Linked DNA regions of Macaca fascicularis. The protein of the gene in region 2 binds, or shares a complex with, the protein of the main gene of each other region. Links are inferred from orthologs where the notes say so. Each region holds a gene or a part of one and is shown on either strand. Other genes may lie near its edges.

What was found. The genes of interacting proteins can lie anywhere in the genome.
Region 1: the proteins of NUP107 (region 2) and NUP133 are in contact, whole or in part, in a crystal structure (PDB 3CQG), measured with the Homo sapiens proteins. The link is inferred for Macaca fascicularis from reciprocal best matches to the Homo sapiens genes NUP107 and NUP133. Residues at the interface, in NP_065134.1 of Homo sapiens: Leu875, Gln876, Ala878, Asp879, Val881, Ser882, Ser883, Glu884, Tyr889, Lys894, Leu897, Arg898, Leu900, Leu901, Gln902, Arg905, Ser908, Leu909, Leu912, Asp917, Pro918, Leu919, Tyr921; in NP_060700.2 of Homo sapiens: Trp937, Leu938, Ile941, Asn942, Gln944, Leu946, Tyr963, Ala965, Lys966, Lys968, Thr969, Leu970, Gly972, Leu973, Lys975, Leu976, Ala977, Leu979, Ala980, Ser981, Asp982, Ile992, Glu999.

Annotation. Positions count from the first base shown.
Region 1 is NC_088375.1:19,636,292-19,639,938, reverse strand, and holds part of NUP133 (nuclear pore complex protein Nup133), read right to left. Parts: intron 3,343-3,647; coding exon 3,118-3,342; intron 1-3,117. UniProt on the Homo sapiens protein: Involved in poly(A)+ RNA transport. Involved in nephrogenesis.
Region 2 is NC_088385.1:75,447,758-75,452,097, reverse strand, and holds the start of NUP107 (nuclear pore complex protein Nup107), read right to left. Parts: upstream 2,806-4,340; 5' UTR 2,718-2,805; coding exon 2,710-2,717; intron 795-2,709; coding exon 703-794; intron 223-702; coding exon 136-222; intron 1-135. UniProt on the Homo sapiens protein: Plays a role in the nuclear pore complex (NPC) assembly and/or maintenance. Required for the assembly of peripheral proteins into the NPC. May anchor NUP62 to the NPC. Involved in nephrogenesis.

The DNA of each region.
Region 1 (3,647 bases), on a different chromosome or scaffold from region 2:
TGACCCAAACAAAATCCCTCCCTTTTGCAAACCTTGTTCTTCCTTTTGCATTTCTGATGTTAGCCAAAGGCATTCTAACAGCCCAGGCAAGAAATCTTCAGCATATTTAATTTGTAAGATTAAGCATAAGAATATTTTACATTGTTAACATGAAAAACACAATGAAAGCCTATATAATGGACAGGCGCGGTGGCTCACGCCCGCAATCCCAGCACTTTGGAGGTGGGCAGATAACGAGGTCAAGAGATCAAGACCATCCTGGCAAACACGGTGAAACCCTGTCTCCACTAAAAATGCAAAAATTAGCTGGGCGTGGTGGCACACACCTGGAGTCCCAGCTACTTGAGAGGCTGAGGCAGGAGAATTGCTTGAACCAAGGCGGAGGTTGCAGTGAGCAGAGATTGTGCCGCTGCACTCCAGCCTGGTGACAGAACAAGACTCTGTCTCCAAAAAAAAAAAAAAAAAAAAAAAAGGAAAGCATAAAAGAAAATAAAAGTGCATAAAATGCCAAAACACTTGTTAAATTATCTTATCATGTATATATTCAGTGATTTCAAATATTGCTCATATGCCGTGTCAACATAGTCTGTTTCTTAAGCAGTAAGCTCTGCTTTTCCAGAGCTCTGGGAGGTACAAGGCCTTCCCAAACTGGAGACAGAGGCAAAGTGGAGAGTGCACCCTCAGGCAGGCTCTGTATTGTTTTACTTTCTATCAGGGCTGCCAAGTCAAAATATTTTTCTATATGGCCCACCAATCAGAGATTGATTTTGGTTAACCAGCTCATCCCAAAACACAAATACTCCTTAGAAAGGTACTTTGTCACCCCCAAGGGAAAGGACAGGTAAAAAGAAAAACTACTATATGTACATAGCTATTATATTCTCTTTTCATGATGATTATGACAGGGGAGAAAACCTTTAGAACTACACCCCAGAGAAGCTGAAGACCAATGAACATCATGAGAAATGAAGATAAATAGTGACGTGAACAGTCCTAAACATTACCATTTTTCATATGGAACATTCTTTTGAGGAGCCAATCACACTTTTAGTTTTGCTGTATCATAGTCCTAAAATACTATTCTATATTATGTATCCAACTGATAATTTCCAGACCCTTCTCTAATAATTCAGCTAACTGAAACATGTACATACACTGCATTGACAATTACACTTTGCCCTTTGATACAAATGCAGAATAATAAACCAGGCTCTTGCTCAGTTCTTACAAGCAGTCTGTCATTAATTTTTAAAAATTCATTGCCTTATCATATAAAACTATGTATGAATAAACACCAAAAAGGACACAAAAAAGACAACAATTTGATTTGTTAGATCATGAAACTTGAGGTGATTTGTTTTTCTTTCAGATTTCTGGCATACTGTCTAGATTAAAAACAAAACATAACAAAGCACTTTTCCTTCCATTCCCTAGGAACTAACACAAACGTATAAAAACAAAGAATTCACACTAAACGCATTTATGGAATCAACAGAAGACTGAACTTAGGTTACAGTACATCAAACATTAAGAAAAAGAGACCTGTTGGCATAATGTGTTACATGCTAGAATACAGTTAGGCTATAGGAGGAAGGAAGCAAAATCTGAGACACCAAATAGAGTTTGAAGCTCCTCAAATGCATAAGGAATTCCAAATTTCACTGAGCTGAGGGAAGAGTTGGCACTGTTTCTAAAACTAGATCATTCTGCAGTCTCCGTTAAGACAATAGGTCTAAGTCCTAATGTCACACCTTTAAAGGGAGACAGCGAAGTCTACCCTGCTGCCTCAATAGGCTGTGAAGCTTCACAAAACCGTGAGGACTGTGCCACTATTTCCACAATGTCCAGCTGTCACTGGCTGACCAGCATCTTAACCATTTCTGTCTTTGAAGTTTGTAGCAGACTTTACTTTTTCTCTGAAAATAAATCTGATTTTACAAGTAAGGTGTAGCAACAGGATCCTAGGAGGTAGCTGAGGAGTTCAGTGAAGGGACTGTTTGCAAAGGTGTGGACAAGATTAAGGGGTCCAAAAGGGGATGGGGCAGCACCCTAGGATGAGGCATTATCAACCTCCAGCCTGAAGAGGCAAGAGGAGGGGCAGCTACTGGAAACAAGAGAAAGCAGTTGGACAGGAGGCATGGTCCCTGACAGAGGGGCACAGCCAATGTAAAGTGGGCACAGGCAAGGAAGAAAGCTGGGGGAATAACTACTACAACTTCCGGCCTTCTGGCAGGGCCTCCCATTCATCTGACCTGGTAGAAGTGGGAGGGCAAGGGAGCCCACTCAGGAAGGCTACTTGGCTGTGGCACAGTCAAGGGCAGATCTGCCTGGTCAACAGGGTGAAACAGGGTCTCTACTAAAAATACAAAAATTAGCTGGGTGTGGTGGCACAGGCCTGTAGTCCCAGCTACTTGAGAGGCTGAGGCAGGAGAATTGCTTGAAGCCTGGAGGCACAGGTTGCAGTGAGCCGACATTGCACCATTGCACTCCAGCCTGGCAACAGAGCGAGACTCAGTCTCAAAAAAAAAAAAAACAGTAGATCGAGAGACAAAGTAAGGAGATCAGGATGGACGCAGTGGCTCACGCCTGTAATCCCATTACTTTGGGAGGCTGAAGGGGTGGATCACCTGAGGTCAGAGTTCAATATCAGCCTGACTAACATGGCGAAACCCCACCTCTACTAAAAATATGAAAATTAGCCAGGCGTGGTGGCTGGCACCTGTAATCCCAGCTACTCAGGAGGCTGAGGTAGGAGAATCGCTGGAACCCGGGAGGTGGAGGTACCTGGGCAACCGAGTGAGACTCTATCTCAAAAAAAAAAAAAAAAAAAAAAAAAGGGAAGATCAGCACCCAAAGCAAATAGGTACTTGGAGATAGTTACTAACGGGAAAAAAAGTCAACAGGGAGCACTTCTCAGTCAACTTTGCAAGCTCTTCTTTATAGGTAACTGGTAAATGATACTTCTGAGTGATACTTTAGCCAGAAAATCTGGGGTCCAATTTAACATTTCAGTGAGATCTTTTGTGATTTAACTTGTCCTCACCCTCTTTCCTGCCTAGGGCATGATCACTAAATGGCACAGTTCTACAAAGCCACATGAAAGAGGACTCATCATACCTCCCTGAAAAAGACATCTGCAGGAGTCAGGTTGGATGGGATTTCATACTCCCTCTTGTTCAAAGCAATCAATATGGCCGTGTTGACGAGATCAGAAAGCCGGGAGTGGTGGTTCTTGAGAACAATGGTGGCTGACAGCTTTTCGGCATGCTCACAGAGCAACAATCGAGTGGCCATCGGTGTCCCTCTAACTGGAAAACTGCCTAGACGTCCAAATAAGCCAACCTTGCAAAAAGGCAAACATATATTCTTAGAAAGCAATATGGTAACATGCAAAATACCATAGCTGTATTTTCCCCAGAAGCACCCTGGGCAGTCACTGGCCCCAGCTCTCCCCCAGCAAGTCCCTCCAGCTGTCTCTTGTTTTAGCTGTTTCTAACACACAGACACACTTCAGCCAGGCCAGTAACACCCACAAGGAAGTGCAGACATTCCTGTTCTAAGAGCAGGGTCACTCCAGGGCTTCTGTCCACTACTATTGTCTCTACATATCATGTTTCCCAAATTATTGTTTATGGTTATCAAAACAG
Region 2 (4,340 bases):
ATAATAACTGCAATCATTATTATTAGTGTTTATTGATATTGTAACCAAATACTATACTTATCATGTTACAATAAATGTTAGTTGCTATTATAATTATCATTATTATTAAATGCTTTAAAAGCAAAAAAGTCTTACAAGGCTGTCGAAATGAGCTAGGAGTTCGAGGGATAACCTGGTTTCTTGGTGTAGTATTACCGAAACTTTCATCTTGAGATGCCTGAACTGTACAATGAGTTAAGAAAAGTTTTCCATGTAGAAAAGATTAAAATGAGAATTAACCATCTTTTTACTATACAAATTATGTGAATACATTTTTCAAGAACAAGGTATTTTACGGCTACCATTTTTCAATGCAAAGGGTAAATAACCCATTCCTTCTGCCATTTAAATTCTCAGACGTCAGTCTTAGATAGCTACACACTGAACTAAATGTTTTTAGTCAGTTTTCAAATAATAAAAATCTCAGCAGAAGCTAACCACAATATGATAGTCAGCAGTAAGAAATATCTTTATTTTTAAGGAAATATAATCTTATTAAATTTTTGCATTATATTTACCTAATGACAGCTCTGTGGAGTGAAAAAAATTTCTACAGGATTTTATTATAGCTAACATTTAATACTCTTATAAAAAGAAAATTCTATAACACTGATTCCAAACATGTTACAATTTTTATAATGATGCTTAAATCGCAAAGGATACTTAAAACTCTTTTTTGAGCACTCTGTTTCCGTGCAGTCCGTGTCACCTCTGCCTCCCGGATTACAGGGGATGATATATCTCCAAAGCCACTCCTAAAGTAGTATAATCAAGCTTATATAAGTGAAACAAGAATATAGCATTTGTAAAGAATTTTATCATCACAGCTGGAGTAAAGGACCCTGAGTAAGTTAAGATATAGGTCATTCCAGTAGCCAAGTCTTGGATCTTTTGCTGAGAATGCACTCGTGGCTCCAAATCCTGCTTATTCTTCAAAGTCTTACTCAAATGTTACCTGCACAAAGATTTCTCTGACTTTCTAGTACTCACTATGTTATTTTCTCCTAAAGAATTATTTCAACACTTGGAATCTATATTATAACACTGTTTTAGGTAATTGCTTCATAAAAGTGAATCTTATTTCCCTGGTTGGATTGAGAAGTTACCTAATTGCAGGAATTCTCTCTTCAAAGATTTTCTGCAGAATCCAAAATGCTTTAAACCATGGGTACTATTAAAAAACAAACAACAACAACCAGACAACAACCACCACCAGACAACAACAACAACCAGAGCTTGTGAGATACAACCACAACAACAAACAGAGCTTGTGAGATAGAAGAGTAAGTAAAAAAATTCTGGTAAATTGTAGCAAAATGACCCTTCAAGTTATTTCAACCAAAGAGGTCTCCTGTCCCATCACAACACTCTGTCAGTTTCACTCAAAGGTCTAGAAACTAAATTGTGTGGACTAAAAGGCCTGTGTTTAAGACAAGAATCTAATATGCTTTTCCTCCACTTAAAACCTTCAGATATTCCTTCAGCAGGAAAGTATGGGAAACAACCCCATAGAAAAAATTTTAAATGTTTAATAATTAAAATTAAAAAACAAAACAAACAAAAAACCTACAGATAGCTCTCTCTGGTTTATAGAAGTGCAAATTTCCTAAAATGATATTTACAATGTGACCCCAGTTTAGGCGTTCAGTCTTCTATTCAGCCACAAACATCACTCTAAACATATACTGCATGTGACCACTGAGCTACATGTACTTTTGTTTTTCATATACTAGCACCTTTGAATATGTTTCTTTTACAAAGACCTACATTTGCCCCCTTGGGCACCTGGTCAACAACTAATTACTCCTCAAAGAGCCTCAGGTAGGCTGGAGACACACAGAGGCAGGTTGGCAATTTGGTTCTTGTATTTATTAGCTTCCTAACTTTCAGCAAATTCCTTAACCTCTTTTAGTCTCAGTATTATATATGAAAAAGGGATAACAGTACCTATCCTCATAGGATTGCTCTTGTTCTGAAGATTAAATAAACTGATAATATATATTCAAAGCCAACAATGGCAGTCATATAGTAGGTACTCAATGTTTGGAGTACGAATAATGTACTATTATTATGCAAAGACCAGCTAGAAAGTTACCTTCTTTGAGAGGTCTTTCTGATAGAGTGACAGGGAGACTTAATCGCCCCCAAACACTTATCACTTTATACCGCTTGGTTGTCTCCACTACACAACTAATTCCCCGAGGTGAAGGATCTTGAATAACTGATCTTTGTTGCAGGCGGCTAGCACAGTACCCAGATCACAGAGGGAACTCAGTATCTGATGCTAGCACGTAATCAGAAAGTCTGAGCTGAGATCCCAGTATCTTCACTGACTGGCTTTGTGATCACAGGCTGGTCACTTAGCATTTCGAACGCCGGGCTACCTACCCCGCCCACCCCAGGAGCGATCAGTGTTGCTGCCCCAAAGCGCCGAATAGATCGCAGAACGTAGTGGGAATGTAGGGGACCATTATGATCCGTACCCCACCCGACGCAGGCCAAGCGGCCTTTCCCCATTTGTAGCCAAATTTCCCGGCATGGGGAAGGAGTCTTAGGGGAAGCACCCGGGACCTCCTTGGCTTCTTCTGGGAGTCTAGTTTCACCTATTTCGTTTCGCCAACAGGCGAGAGGGGCAAGGCTTTGGGTTCAGCTGCCATCCTCAGAACTGACCTGTCCATGGCTAAAGCCTTTTCCACACAGAATAAATGTCGGCTCCAGTTTAGCTACCGCGTTTTAGCCTTCCCGCTCTCCGGAAGCAAGCCCTTCGACCCGGAAGCAGTCTCTCCCTAAAATAGCCCCACAGAAAAGGGGTAGGGGAGAAGAAACGACGTTCCCATCTAGCGCATGGGCGACTTCAGCCTACAGGTGCCGGCCCGGTGGGCGCAGGCGCAAAAGCTTGCCAATGTGTGCCTGGCTGGACCAGACAGGGCCGGGGGCGGGACCTGGTTGCGTTTAGCCCAGACGCCTTGCGGCCGCTTTGCCTGACCAACGTCTGTGGGCGTGGAACAGGCCCTGGGTTCTCCTACTGGGAAAAATGAAGCATGTTGATAGTCTGGAAAAACGTGAAGTCATTTCCTGGTATTCTCTGTCAGAAAGCGCCTGTTCTTGGAATTCAGATGCGTGGGCTCTGCCCCACACCTCGGGAATCTCTTATCTCTCTCCCTACACTCAGTCCTTTGTTCTCTAGCCCCCTGCAGTTTTTGAAACTGTTTTCCATAACTGCTATTTGTTCTTTACTTGGTATTCTTTTCTATTAAGGAGAAACAGTTCACCTGTATTAAAAAGTAGAAAGGCAAGCGTAAAACATGATGGTATTGCCCTCTATTTCAAAGTGCCGTCTAGGCAAAAAGTGGTATATTTTGGTCTTGAAGGAGTCAGTCACATTTTTGTTTCTGTTTTTGTTTTTTCCAGTTTGAAAGTAGCGACTGGCTATTAACTGACCAGATTACAAAAATAACGTTAGATGCTTCAGTTTATCCGTTTAATAAGCCTGTTGATATGGTCTTTTCTGTTGCTGGCATTTGTACTTTTTAGTAATACAGAATAGGTAGTCATTCTCCCTCGTGGAGAAGATAATTTGAAGGATCACAGGAACTTGAAGAGTTTTTCAACAGCATAGATCTCATGAATCAGATTCTCCAGTCAGATGATGCCATATTTATCAAGAAATCTATCAATCAAAGAGTTATCTGTTAAGGTAATTTGTTTATTGGTTTTGCCATAACCAATTTGTAGATCAGTTCATTTATTGATTTCAGGTTCAGGTACTCTATGCGATGTATGGTTCCACAATAGTCAGCATGTTAACTGAAGCCTTGAGTTTAGCAGAGGTGCCATGGAAGATCTGGGGAAAGTGAAGAGGTTTTGACAGACTTTTGGGCTCACACCATTGATACCTTAAGGCAAGTGACAATTTGGATTTCACAGGTATATAGAAATTGCCAGCTTTTCTTGTCATATATTCCTTGTGACAGTGCTGAGCTTTTCTTCTTCTTCTTCTTCTTGCTTGCTTTTTTTTGGACTTGATTTTTTAAATTATGTTTCCTTCCTTCTTTTTTTTTTTTTTTTTTTTTTTGAGACAGGGTCTTGCTCTTTTGTCCCAGCTCAAGTGCAGTGGCACAGTCATGGCTCACTGCAGCCTTGACCTCCTGGGCTCTAGCAATCCTTCTACCTCAGCCTCCCTAGTACCTGAGGTTGCTGGGACCACAGGCACGCACCACCATGCCTGCCCCCCAACCCCGTTTTTTAAAAATATTTTGGAGAAACGAGGTCTTATGTTGTTGCCCAGGCTGGTCTCAAAC